2 linked regions of the Bombyx mori genome follow. The protein of the gene in region 1 purifies or fractionates together with the protein of each later gene. This does not show direct contact. Links are inferred from orthologs where the notes say so. Each region holds a gene or a part of one and is shown on either strand. Other genes may lie near its edges.

Region 1 (6,405 bases):
GAATACTGAAATTTTATTGTAAAGTGTTTATGACTAGAGGCCATCGTTGCAATACATTGACCACTGTTTACAGTCTGCAACTAAATAGTTTGTGATTCCCTGTTCTGGTGAAACTGGAAAGGCCTCCGGGCCACAAGTAATCCTTCCTTCATAAAAAAGTCACATGATTATTTTTCAAATACTAAATATGATTTCTAAGATATAGTCTCCTGGTGAACACTAACACTTCACTACAACTGTAAACTGGAGCAAAAAAAAAAACTCCATTATTTTACAGGTATTCTTCCTGAGGATTTGAATCTATTCCTCGAAGGTGGTCTTCCAAAGAGGAAAAAACGATCAAAATGCACACTCGGTGTACTGGATCCCAAGCTAGGAGCAGCCATCAGCGAGGCCCTGGAAATTCAGTGCACGCATACAGGAGCAGTCCCGGAGATTTTGAGAGGTCTGTTATGACATATACAATGGATATTTTCAATATCATAGAGTTCTTCTTTCATTGTTAAATGAAAAATTGGTATTTAGATGGCTTTGTGGTAAATTTTTTTATTTATTTATTGCTTAGATAGGTGGACGAGCTCACAGCCCACCTGGTGTTAAGTGGTTACTGCAGCCCATAGACATCTACAACGTAAATGCGCCACCCACCTTGAGATATAAGTTCTAAGGTCTCAGTATAGTTACAACGGCTACCCCACCCTTCGAACTGAAACGCATTACTGCTTCACGGCGGAAATAGGCGGGGTGGTGGTACCTACCCGTGCGGACTCACAAGAGGTCTTACCACCAGTGAATCTATGTTTCTTTATCTCACTTTGGATCTTAATCGTATTTGGTGAGGTAATTAATGTCATTTGTCAGAATTAAGACGACAAATGTGAAAATACTAAGTTTTCTTTGTTCTTTAAACAGGCATACGTTATCACTTCCACTCGCTCATCAAAGGCCTTACCCTCAAAGCATGCAGTGTGGCACAGCTTGGTCTTGGCCACTCATACTCACGAGCTCGTGTCAAGTTCAATGTTCACCGAGTGGACAACATGATCATACAATCAATAGCCCTGCTCGATCAACTTGACAAAGATGTTAACACTTTCTCCATGAGAATAAGGTGAGGTTTTTTTTTTTATATTGCATAGATGGATAAACGAGCTCATAGCCCACCTGCATTTAAGTGGTTACTGGAGCCCATACACATCTACAACGTAAATGCGCCACCCACCTCGAGATATAAGTTCTAAGGTCTCAGTATAGTAACAACGGCAACCCCACCCTTCGAACCGAAACGCATTACTGCTTCACGGCGGAAATAGGCGGGGTGGTGGAACCTACCCGTGCGGACTCCCAAGAGTACAAAAATTAGTACCACTAGTACAAAAATATAAAATATTGTGAAAATGTTGTTACTAAATCTTGTAGACTTACTAATTTTGTACTGTTTCTAGAGAATGGTATTCCTATCACTTCCCGGAGCTTGTGTCAATTGTTCCTGAAAATCACCTGTACACAAAATGCGCCGAGTTCATAAAAGATAGGAAGACCCTGTGCGAAGAGTCATTAGAACCGCTCACTGAGATCCTGGGAGACTCCGAGAAGGCGCAGGCTATCATAGATGCCTCGAAAATGTCCATGGGAATGGATATTTCACCAGTTGACTTGATTAACATCCAAATGTTTGCTGGCAGAGTAGTAGCACTCAGCAATTATAGGTTAGTATAATGTTTATTTAAAATTTAAATAGATGCTTAATACTTTGTTTGTTGATTCATGATAGCATATATTTTAAAATCTTATAAGAGTATCATGTGGATAAAAATTTAAAAGAAATTAAAAAGTTACTTGTTCACTATTTTACTCTGTTATGCTATCAATAATTTAAATCTCCTCCTTCTCTTTGCATTGTGTTCCCCAGTGCTGAGGGTTGTGACCTTTACGAAACATTGTTGTTAGAACTATGTTCCTCCATTCTATCCTATCTGCGCAGTGGATAGCGATATTGATGCTGGAGTCCAATGTGGTCTTATTTGATTCGAAATTGTCATTTAATTTCAATCTTAAAAAGGACCTATTGAAAATCTGTTAACATCAAGAAATAACTAATAATTTCAATTAACATTGTGTCCCCACAGAAAACAGATTTCAGAATACCTGCATAGTAAGATGAACTCCGTAGCACCTAATTTGTCTACGTTGGTTGGAGATCAAGTTGGAGCCAGGCTGATCTCCAAGGCTGGCTCCCTGACCAACCTTGCCAAGTATCCCGCATCTACATTGCAGATATTGGGTAAGTTGGTCACATTTTTCAATTTACAAGTCTAGCTGATCATCAACATACAATTTTAAATATACACTGATAACCACAACATAGTATAAAACAAAGTCTGTCCCTATATCCCTATGTATGCTTAAATCTTTAAAACTACGCAACGGATTTTGATGCGTTTTTTCTTAATAGATAAAGTGATTGAAGAGGAAGGTTTATATGTATCATAACATCCATTAAATAGTGGAGAAATCAATAATAAATTACAGTTTCCGAAGCGAAGCGAGGGCGGGTCGCTAGTAATTATAATAAATACAATTTCTCTAATAACCATTACTAAGAATAAATAAGTATAAAATATCAAATATTGAAAATATCTCCAACATGATTTACATTTTTGTTGTATTTCCCCTATTGTAAGATAACAATTTTCTATACAAATGATTTTATTACAAAATTCAGGTGCAGAAAAAGCTCTCTTCCGAGCTCTGAAGACACGTTCGAATACTCCAAAATATGGTCTGCTATACCACTCCACGTTCATTGGACGTGCCGGACTGAAGAACAAAGGTCGGATCAGCAGATATCTGGCCAATAAGTGCTCAATTGCATCCAGGATCGATTGTTTCTCTGGTAATTAAATTTTTCTGACTAGAAAACTTAATTGTCATAAAAGTTTAAACAATGAACGATATTGTTTTACGTTTTTTTTTCTATTAACAGCTTTTCTTGAGCCTTACCACCAAGCCTTCACAAGCAACAAATTTATCTGAAAGATATCTAGGCACACTGTGATCTACCGTCAGTATTGTAAATAACTTGCGGTAATAAGGGTCGTGCTATATTAATTGCTATATCCAGTAACTGTCATAAGTAATTAATTATGGCAGTTTTTAAATGTTCGCTACATTGCCTTACTGAGATTTCATAAACTACCTATATAATTGTATAAAAAAAGGAAAATTTTAAAAATATGTACTTAGATAGATCGATAAAAAGTTAAAAAAGTTTATACATATTTCAATATCGACGCTTGAAAGGCAAACGACTAAGCGACAATAATTGCTTTGTACATAAACGATAGGCAATAACCATATTCGGTGTGCAAAAAATATATATATTTCTATTAAAATCATTTCAATCCTACAGCTAGATTCGTTAAAATAGAATTTTTTTCAGGTATTTCAACTTTAAATTAGCCTACTGTAAAGTTCACGCATTGTCGCTTAGTCACGTTTGCCTTTCAAGCGTCGATATGTATTCTTTATTAAATTCTCAGACAAAATTGTATTTTTTTTATGCGATATAGTAACAGCTCAAAAGCTGGTGGGACCTTTTTCCCATCCATAGAAGAATGATATACATATTTTATTTTGGAAAGACTCAAAATAACTCTTGAAATGTTACAGAAATGCAATCAGCTGTATTTGGTGAAAAACTCCGTCAGCAAGTAGAAGACCGTCTGAAATTCTATGAGACCGGTGATATTCCCAAAAAGAATATTGAAGTGATGAAGGAAGCTATGGACGAAGTTCAGAAGGCTGTTGACGCCGAGGCCAGTGCCAAGAAGAAAAAGAAAAAGAAGAAGAAGAAGTCCGAATTAGACGAGAGTGTGGCCATGGACGAAGATTAGTCGAATAATGTAGAATTTAATTACTATTGGTGTTAAGATATTGTACCTTTAAAAATAAAGTATTTCAGACGGTTTTATGGACCAACAAAACTGCTATCTTGGAGTTATTTCTTTTAACCCTACTTTTAATCAAATACTAAGCGTCGCCCGATGCATCTGTCAATTCCACTTTTAATTTAAGAATTCAATTTGTTATGGCGCATTACCTTGGCCTGTATAAAACATACATAGAGTAAGAATGAGAAATGTCAAAACGAAAGATAGAACCATAGATTATACACTTGATAGAACGTAATACCCACCATATTTTTTAACGTAAAATAGATTAAATACTTAGTACTATACAAACGATGTTTTTTTTTAACAAATCTACATATACTATCTGGCCAATGCTCATTTGTTTTGTGGAATTAGAATCGAGTATCGAGTGATGCGAAAAAAAGTAAAAATAATTATTACCTAATTCGTATCGAGATACAATATGTACCACGAATTCAGTTAAAGAAAATTTAACCGAAGTAGAGATTCGTGAAATAACACTATACTTTGTGCATTATTTTATTTAAAAAGATTATAAATTTTAAACAATTTAGTACTGCACTTTTCTGTATTAGAGATGCGACCATATATTGGGATAAAATAAATCTATAATTAAATAAGATCTAAATATCACAAGTGGAGTCCTCAGAAAGCATACGAGCAGTAATTATTTCATAACATAGCCTTGTATAAAACACAGTTGACTTCGAACTCATGTCTACAACGTCGACATCTATAAGTTCCCTCGACTTGTAGTTTGTGAGTTTGTCTACCCATTAAACTTTATTAAAAACAGAATGGTACATTTAAAAAAACAAATTTAATATTGTTTACTTATCTATTTTAATAAAACTGTTTCCTTTATTTTTTTAAGGGATTTTATGACCTGGTAACTGAGATCTTTAAGTCAAGTCTTCTTTTAATTTATATTCTCAATTTTATGAAAAATGATATTATGGGATGAAATGAAATGAAGATGATTAATTTGAGACATTAATCAACTGGGATGAAATTAAATGAAATGATATGGGATGAAATATAAACTCAGTAAAATGGTGGTCATTTACTAAGATTTTTTCAGTGGACTTTTTGTAGGATCCCGAGAAGTTACGTCCAGCGGCTTTGTTTCATTTTCCCACATTTGTGCACTTTCACACATATTAAACAGTTAATAAACCACCATTATTACACATTTAAACCCGAAGAAACACTAAATAGACAAAATAAAACAAATCACACAACTTCACTCCTCGCGTTCCCGCCAAAAAGTCCCCTGTTTGCTTTAAATGTCATTTGATACATAGATTATATTTCTGTTGCTTACCCTTTTTAAATCTCTTTAGTTAATCTGTATTGGTGAACTTGAAGAAAACTTTTTAATAAAGAGTCTTTATGTTCTTTGTAAATGTAATTTTAAAATGTTTTCTTTGCCCTCAAATATCAGTGCATATTAGGGAATTAGAAGCTCGTTTGAAATAAAACCAGGCAATGTATTTAATTACAATTCGGATTTATTGTTGTATAGTTTTGTCGACGCACTTGAGGCTGCAGTTGACGTGCAACGCCGCGAGTTGCGTCGCGAACAGCTTGTAGACGTGCGGCGCCCGCACCGCGCCCGCCCGCCCCCCGCACGCGCACGCGCCGCCCCCCCGCGCGCCCGCCACGCTGCCGCACGACGTGCACACCGCCATCTGGCGCCGCACACACACACACGCTTAGTACTGACGCTAACACGTCGCATTACAGCACAACTCAAGTACATACTGAGATTAAAACACGCTACACACAAAAAAATATAATTTGCGTAATTACTGGTGGTAGGACCTCTTGTGAGTCCGTGCGGGTAGGTACCACCGGCTAACCTATTTTTGCCGTGAAGCAGTAATGCGTTTCGGTTTGAAGGGTGGGGCAGCCGTTGTGACTATACTGAGACCTTAGAACTATATCTCAAGGTGGGTGGCGCATTTACGTTATAGATGTCTATGGGCTCCGGTAACCACTTAACACCAGGTGGGCTGTGAGCTCGTTCACACAGCCAAACAATAAAAAAAACCCAGCATAGGTAGGAAAAAAAAATCCTACAATCTACGGTATCGTTTTAGAAAGTCATATTTCTTTAAAGGTTAAATTAAAAGTTAAGGTAAAGTAAAGTTAGGTCGGTGAGGTATCGATATGAAGAGCAAGCAGTACGTCACCGACCTCTGTCTCGTCGGAGCAGCGCAGCAGGCGGTCCTGCAGCAGGAAGGCGGCGCCGTGCGACACCAGCGCGTCCCGCTCCATCTCCCCCAGCCGCACGCCGCCCCCGCGCCGCCGCCCCTTCACCGGCTGCCGGGTCAGCGCGTCCACGGGCCCGGTGGTGCGGACCTGTACACACACACCGCCGTATAACAGCCGCCCCACCCTTCAAACCGGGATGTTGTTCCCGACGGCACTAGACGGTCTCTCCATAGAGATTTGTCTCTGACCTTCT
Region 2 (8,308 bases), on another chromosome or scaffold:
GGATCCAATACAAGCTACGTATTTGTGTTGCTAAGTCCGACTTTTTTTGTTCAATAGAACTAAGATTCCGTGACAATTCCCTATTTGCATTGACCTCATGACGCTTTTCATGAATACATGATTGGTTTTCGGTAGAAACAGACAGGGCACTAACAATAAATCTGGCGGGCTCTGAACCAATGTCTTACCAGCAGCTGGTAAATTAAATGTAACTTAATCAAGTTGGGGAATTGACAATTTACTTTTGAGAAAAAGAAACTACGAAGTTGTCTGTATGTACCTTCATAACCTTAATCTGTGAACTCTATGAACCTCTATGAACCGCTAAGACCGGTAGACTAATTACGCGATTCCATTTTTATTATGAGTTATGTTATAGTTTATTATGACTGTCCAAAAGATTTGAAAACACGGGTTTGTAGTAAGTAGCTAAACATTAGAAGCTTCCATTAATAAACTTTATTATAATTAGAATTTGATGTAGATAAGTAGGTACGCTTAACGACGAATTATGTAGGTTATAAACTGATTTACAGTATTACAAATTTTACCTTCTCCTTCTAAATGTTGATTGTGAAGATTTTTAATTCTTCGTTAGTGTCTAGTCAAATTCCATAGAAACAAATGTAATTAAAGCAATAGAAAAAATACAGACTTTTATTTTATTAAATGTGTATGGTTGGCCAAACAAGGTAATTTTGGAGGTGCTGTCTTTGTTAGATTATAATTAAATTTAGTTACATGCCAGTAAAGTAATGTAGATGACAGATTGAATTACGGATTTACGGCTCAAGACCGATAGTTGAAGTTGTGTAGAGTGCGGGCTCCAGTATTGGCCTAAAACTAAGTCGGATAGTCTTCGAAACTGTCTAGAGAAATAAAAACAATATCCTGACTCTTTCTATATTAATGAATTTCATACCAAACTAGCTTTTGTCCGCGACTTCGTCCGCGTGGAATAGTTACTTTGCCACAACGCTAAAATTCGATGCCTCCAATGAACACTACTCTAACTGAAAATTTTGAAATTTTCGTTTTTCACGCAAATCGCTTCACTATTTTAAAAGTATTACAATTAATCATTATTGATGGGGTTCGAAGCAAGAGTAAATCAGCTAGTTACACAAAAAAACCATAAATATATCTGCAATAATAAAGATTTTATCGACTTTTTTCGTTTAAACGCTCCTCCTGTAAATCTATGAATTTAGAGTTAGCGTAGTGTTCATTGGAGGCATCGAAATTTTACCTGCGACTTCATTTACGTAGAAAGAAAAAAACGATTTAGAAACATTCTTTATTGGTATTCCGTTTGTATTGGTCTTAGCGTATAGCCTATAGCCTTCCTCAATAAATGGGCTATCTGACACTGAAATAATTTATCAAATCGGACTAGTAGTTCCTGAGATTAGCGCGTTCAAACAAACAAACAAACTCTTCAGCTTTATAATATTAGTATAGTAGATACCTCGAAATTGGCTTTTTTTTAATTTCTTTTATTGCTAAGTTGGATGGATGGACTCACGGCCCACCCGGTGTTAAGTGGTCACCGGAGCTCATAGACATTACGCATGTAAATGCGGTCACCCACCTTGGACATGTATTCGAAGTCTCAATTTTTAAGTACAACGGCTACCCTACCTTCCAAACCAAGGTAGGATGGTGATACCTACCCGTGCGGGCTTACAAGACGGCCTCACACCAGTAATTACACAAACTGGTTTCATTTTTATTACACGATGATATTCCTTCATCGTGAAGCATTCATGAACATTTGTTAGGTTAGTACGTAACTATTTCATCAGAAAAATTTGTACATGCCTGCGGGACTCGAACACTGGCATAGTCGCATCACTCAGTGCAGAACAGTGCTTCGCAGAACCTACCGCCGGATCGGAAACGCGACCCGGAAACGACCCGCGACGCGAAAAGATCCGACGAGAAACTCTGTGACTTGTGTCTGTGGGTTAATTTACTCGCCTAGCCCTGCGCCGCAAGCGACAGTTTCGACGAGAATCACTCGATACGAGAGTATTGGAGACACCTTGTTCTTTTAGGCCACGACGACTTCACTCTTGTTACGTTCAAAACCAAACATATTTTTCGATTTAAAACAATGAACGCCTCATTTTTAAGGGTTTTATTAATAGTTAAGGAAAACAAAAAAACAAGTGTCAGTATTTTAGTTTTTATTAGTAATACATTCTGTAAGGCTTATATCATAGTTCTATCTCCTTTTCCGTCCAGTAGATTTCTTATTTGGTGCCCTTTTTCCCTTTCCTGCTTTAGGTTTCTTGGCTGAGAAATTTGTTGCATTGCCTTTACCTTGAGTTTTACGTTTTCCTAAGCCGGGTTTCATATTTTTCTTTTCGTGTGATCTCCTAATGATAATACAAACAATAGAAATCAGCTCATTTACTTCGAAGTAATAAAATAAAAACTTTAAAAAAAAAATTCTGATTATATCATTTTCAAATTTACAATAAAATAAAAATAATTTACTTACTTGACTTCCTCTTCATTTATACTTTTCGCTACAGCTTTATCCATATCAATTTTTGGCCTCTTACTCAGTATATTATCAAGTAGATTCAGGTTGTATTCTTTTTCTGCTGCCGGTGTTGGTATAGGTGCTTTACGTTTCCTCTCCTTGCCTGGGATTAGCTCATGTACACCTTTACCGCGTGCTTCTTTCTCTTTGGGTAATTTATCTTGGAATTTTCCAAGAGAAGCCGTTGATGCTTTTGCTACACTTGCTGCTGTGGATAACTGGAAAATTATGAAAAATAATTGTAGATTTATGCATTCATATATTTATAAAATCATTTAAATTATTATCTTTAAACAATAATGTAATGGATAAGCAAAACAAGATGAATGTAATAGTTTAGCAATAAAATTGCAACAGTTAAAAAGTTGTAGTATATCTAATTCTAACTTAATTACAAACAGCAAATGCTGCTTGGCTGTAAGAAAGATCAGGTATGCTACTTTGAGATCATCTAGAATAGAAAAAGGAAAATTGTCCTTTCATTGAATTAGACATGTATTTATTAAAGTATACTATTATCATTGTATAAGATGTCTAATTTGAAACTGAAAAAGGAAAAATTATAATTCAGTACAATATATATTTTTCTACTTGATCCTACCTGTGTGGCAGAAGCTTTATCTGAAGTGACAGGAAGCCCCACCCTTGGTATTTTAACCTTTTTGGCTCTAGCGAGATTCTTAAGTCTCTGTAATTCATTCTTTGCAACCTTTTCTGATTTTTCACCGGCTTTCTTTTCATACATATCTGTCATAGGATCTAAATTCTGTGGGACTTCTATAAGCCAGTTCTTCTCTTTTTCAGCTGCAGTTTTCTTGAAACTGATGATACAGAATTATATAGTCAATTATAGATATAGTTGATTGCCGACAATAATAAACGGACAATGTGTTTTACAACATCCTGGCTATTGGTTTGACTATAAAATACAGATTTTAAAATGATGATATCAATTTTTAATTTCTGCCTAAAAACTTTTGTAAATAAGGTTTTTATGGTTTGTGTTTATAGTTTTCTAGACAACTTTCATTATTCTACTATTGAAAACTCACCCATATAAAGGAACCCATTTCTGCAGCTGTTCATCCCATTGAAGTTTGTCTTTCTTTTTCTTATTAATACCCTTGGCTTTTGCGAACTCTTGCCATTTAGTTAATGGCTTAGGTACAGGCACTGGCTTGGCTCGGGGTAGGATTGTCGTAGGTTGTGGCAATCGAACTACTATGGCCTCTTCGATTCTTTCAGTGGGAAGCTCCCATACTTTATTCAGTAGTAGCTGAGCATTGTCACGGGTCAATGCAAGTAAATATGAATCTTTGTTTGTCCTAAACAACACATAAAATCAATTTAATTTGATAACAAAACATGTGCTGTTAACTAAATTTATGTTTAATCCTGAAATTAATAGTGACTATGCGTTTGCTAAAATGAGATAAGATGAAGACTTACTTCAGCGTTTTTATGTCCAAATCGTTTGTGTCAGAGGCCAATAGTGAACCTAGGTCGAATTCTAATTCCAAATGTTTTTCGACCGTTATTGGTTTATATTTATCTGCTTTCTTTTGTTCCCTTTCTAATATCTCATTTACAATATCCATTGTTATCAGAACACTTCCTTTTTACACATTAGAATTAACAAGCTTATTTGACTTGAGCTAATATTTTCCTTGCTTTACTTTTGTTGAAAAATAACCTCAAAATGTATTTTTTTTTTACAATTTAATTACATATATTTATGATTTCGTAGTTTTCTGGGCAACCACGTTTTGAACTCTGGCATAGATAATAAATATTTAACACATGTCATCATATTGGTAGCTTATTGTAGTAGATAATCTATGCACGTAGAATAATTATTTTAGAATTTTTATGTACATACATATATATTGAAACGATGGAACTCAAGTTCATTTTTATTTTATAATCTATAAATATTTATGTATTCAGTTCTATTACCGCGCATCACTGTACTGTACAGTAACTAAAAGGTGTAGGGGCTTCGTTCCCTTTGTATCACCAGCGAGTTAATAAATGAAGATTATGGAGCATGTCCAAACAGGAACAGGTATAGTGATATAAAGTATAAACGAAATGTATTATGCATAGCCCTCTACCAAGGTTTAATGATAGATAAGACATAAACATAAACGTTACATAGTAACTTTTTAATAATCTGTAACTCTGCCTCAACACTCGCGTATGACGTCGCACTGTGAAGAAACACCATGATCTGCGCCAGAACTGTGTCCCTCCACACTCACAAAGCTTCACAGCTCAGCCTTGTTCGCGATTATGATCGACGACGACGTGATTTCTGCTGCTGCTGTGTATTCTACATACACTTCACTTTCTTTCTATACAATCTATAGCTCGACTTAAGTGATTCTTTATTTTTCTTTAACTCTGACTCAGTTACAGGTGTATTTAAGATAGCACTTATGCGTGTCCAGGCATCATGAACCTTATTCTCATTTTTGTGGTCTTGATGTTTCGGCTTAGGTTTATGGCAATAAATGAGAGTCAGTTCCAGATCATTATTCCACCATTTATATTAGGATCAATCACCAACGCACGCATAACCACTCTACGATGTCCTGTACGCTACTGCGGTAAGCTGCGAGTGTGGATACATTCACGTTCGCGTGCCGCAAACCCTTTGTCGCGGGCCATAAAACCGACACAGATCGGGGAGCGACGCGCGAACGAGAAGGCGTGAACAACATCTACACTCGTGAATTCGCAGTTGTCGCGTTCGCGCCGCGAGTGTAGAGCCGACTTGACGCAGAGTAGGAAGGAATACCGTACTATAGCCATATTAGCCATGGAGTTAATAAGTTCAACTCTAGCTCTATGATTGTAGCCATAGATTATACACTTAAATTGTAGCGTAACTAGCGTAGCATTATAAACTCTAAAAAAAGAAAAATATCGCTTAACTGACATTTTCAATTAAAATAAATGTTTTAATTATTCTAATGCTCGTAGGATTTGTTAACTTAAGATTAAGTAAGATTAACTTGTTAAATTAAAGATTAAACACTTAATATTTGAGTTTAGTTTATTATTGTGTACAAAAAGCAATAAATACATTACCTAAATAAACTGAATTTCAATGTCAAGAACTAAAACTAACCCAAATGGTGGACATAAACAAATATTTAGAAATGCAACTTGAATTAGCGAAAAAGCAAATTGAGAGGAAAAATAGTCAGAAAGAAGATGTATCAACTAAAAGCAAATCTGCTGCTGATTACATATCGCAAAAACAGGCAAAGACTCTGTCAAAATTTCCCCACAATCAAAAAGTAGATGTAAAAACTACTGTGACATCAGGGACTTCAACTGAAGGACACCTCGATGACATCGATTTTGTACCTTCCGATGAGGAAGACGACAGTATCCATAATTTTCCGCTTACTGCGTGTTCTTCTCGTACCAAACAGAATATAAACCGAATTGTTGACGACGGTGATATTAAACAATACAATTTAAGGGTAGAGGTTTGGCGTGAAGGATTAAATACTGTGAAAAGCGGTACATATGAAGGATGCACGTTAACCGCTGACATACAGTACATCCTGGATGGTAATAAAGATAGCGATGAAATGCATGAACTCCAGAATGGTCTATTAGTACCAAAATATATTTGGAAACAGTTATATAAATTTCAAAGAACTGGTGTTAAATGGCTTTGGGAGTTGCATCAAGTGGATTCTGGTGGATTGTTAGGTGATGAAATGGGACTTGGTAAAACAATACAAGTCATTGCATTCCTAACTGCCCTTTCAAAAACCAATTTAGGATCATGGGGTGGTCTTGGTCCGAGTATCATTATCACACCTGCAACAGTTATATATCAATGGGTATCTCATTTTCATTATTGGTGCCCCCTGCTCAGAGTAGCTGTACTGCATCACACTGGCTCTCATGCTGGTAATCACCATAAACTATTAAGGGATATACACAGTGCTCATGGAATCTTGTTAGTAACATATGCAGGCATAGTAAAGTATCATAAAGAACTTAATGCTTATAGTTGGCATTATTTAATTTTGGATGAAGGACACAAAATACGTAATCCTGATACACAAGTAAGTAAAATTGTAAAAAAAATCCAGACACCACACAGATTGTTAATAACAGGCTCACCAATGCAGAACAGTTTGCAGGAACTGTGGTCATTATTTGATTTTATGAGGCCAGGTTTGTTGGGGACATACAATGCATTCATAGAACACTTTGCAGTTCCAATCACTCAAGGAGGCTATGCTAATGCTACTGAAATACAGGAAGCTACTGCCATGGAAATAGCTATTGCTTTGAAAAATATGATCACTCCTTACATGCTGAGGAGAACTAAGGCTGAGGTACAAGGACATATCAAACTCCCAGAAAAGAATGAACAAGTTCTATTCTGTTCTTTAACACAAGAGCAAAGAGATCTTTATATGGGTTACCTTATGAGTAATACAGTGAGAAGCATCTTAGACAAAGAAAATAAATTTGGAAATCCATTAAGAGCGAGGCTACTAGTGGCTCTGTCAACGCTAAGGAAAATATGCAATCATCCTGATATTTATCTCTACGAAGCTCAAGAAGATGAAGAACAGATAGATGAAGAGATATTTGGCCATTGGAAGAGATCTGGAAAAATGACTGTTGTTAATTCATTACTTAAAATATGGAAAAAACAGGGACATAGAGCTCTCATATTCTCTCAGTCAAGAGTAATGCTGTGTCTGTTAGAACAGTATTTACAAAATCAAGGCTTTACATACCTCAAAATGGATGGTACAGTTAATGTTGGCCAAAGGCAAAACTTGATTAAAACTTTTAATGATAACACTGATTATTTAGTTTTTCTTTCCACAACTAGAGTAGGTGGCTTAGGTGTAAATTTAACTGGAGCCGACAGAGTGATAATATATGATCCTGATTGGAATCCTGCAACAGATGATCAAGCAAAGGAAAGAGCATGGAGGATAGGCCAGTCTAGAAATGTAACAGTTTATAGATTGTTGTCAGCTGGGACTATAGAGGAAAAGATTTATCAGAGGCAGATATTCAAACATTTCTTGAGTAATAAAATTTTTGTGGACCCAAATCAAAAGAATTTTTTAACCACCAGTACATTACAGGGACTGTTCACTCTTGAAGAGCTTAACCGTGAAGGAGATACTGAAACTGCATCAATTTTTAAACATACCAAAATTATCAATAAAACCAATAAGAATGATAATGACTTGGATATTTCATCTAAAACAAAGTTAGAAGCCATGAAAAGATTAGCAAAAGAAATAAGTAAAAAAATATCAAAAGAATCCATGAAGGGAACACAGGAAAGTGATCCACGTGAAGAATATAAAAAGAAAAGAGAACAATTATTATGTCCACCTAAAGTGGAAGAACCAGATATTAATTTAGTTGATGATAAAATAACCAATGTAGCTTTTGAAGATGTTTTGTCAGAATTAGATATTGTAAAAATGCATGCAAAGAAAGATTATGAAGAACAATTGTTGAAAAGTGTACTAGAAGATAATGAACAAGATATTAAAGAAGTAGATGAAGAGAAACCTACCAACATTGACAACTCTCAACTTGAAACTAATGAAAGTACTGTAAAAGATATTAAACAAAAGCATAAAAAATCACATAAAATAAAGCGCAAAAGAAGATTATCATCTTCCATTGATGATGGACTCAAAAATTTAGTAACTGTAAAGAAAGTAAAGAAAAAGGATTATAGTAAAAATG

What was found. Proteins that work in one complex are often made in the same cells at the same time.
Region 2: the proteins of nucleolar protein 56 (region 1) and ribosome biogenesis regulatory protein homolog purify together in Homo sapiens (co-immunoprecipitation; 3 studies listed by BioGRID and IntAct, with this or other methods). This does not show direct contact. The link is inferred for Bombyx mori from reciprocal best matches to the Homo sapiens genes NOP56 and RRS1.

The regions. Positions count from the first base shown.
Region 1 is NC_085132.1:2,378,330-2,384,734, reverse strand, and holds the end of nucleolar protein 56, read left to right. Parts: intron 1-277; coding exon 278-445; intron 446-912; coding exon 913-1,111; intron 1,112-1,445; coding exon 1,446-1,709; intron 1,710-2,129; coding exon 2,130-2,284; intron 2,285-2,725; coding exon 2,726-2,896; intron 2,897-3,672; coding exon 3,673-3,896; 3' UTR 3,897-3,992; downstream 3,993-6,405. Other genes in the region: DNA-directed RNA polymerase I subunit RPA2, read right to left, coding at 5,447-5,626, 6,135-6,299. UniProt on the Homo sapiens protein: Involved in the early to middle stages of 60S ribosomal subunit biogenesis. Required for the biogenesis of box C/D snoRNAs such U3, U8 and U14 snoRNAs. Part of the small subunit (SSU) processome, first precursor of the small eukaryotic ribosomal subunit.
Region 2 is NC_085123.1:3,056,560-3,064,867, reverse strand, and holds ribosome biogenesis regulatory protein homolog, read right to left. Parts: upstream 4,554-8,308; 5' UTR 4,150-4,553; coding exon 4,001-4,149; intron 3,877-4,000; coding exon 3,604-3,876; intron 3,373-3,603; coding exon 3,153-3,372; intron 2,770-3,152; coding exon 2,507-2,769; intron 2,382-2,506; coding exon 2,228-2,381; 3' UTR 2,175-2,227; downstream 1-2,174. Other genes in the region: DNA excision repair protein ERCC-6, read left to right, coding at 5,689-8,308. UniProt on the Homo sapiens protein: Involved in ribosomal large subunit assembly. May regulate the localization of the 5S RNP/5S ribonucleoprotein particle to the nucleolus.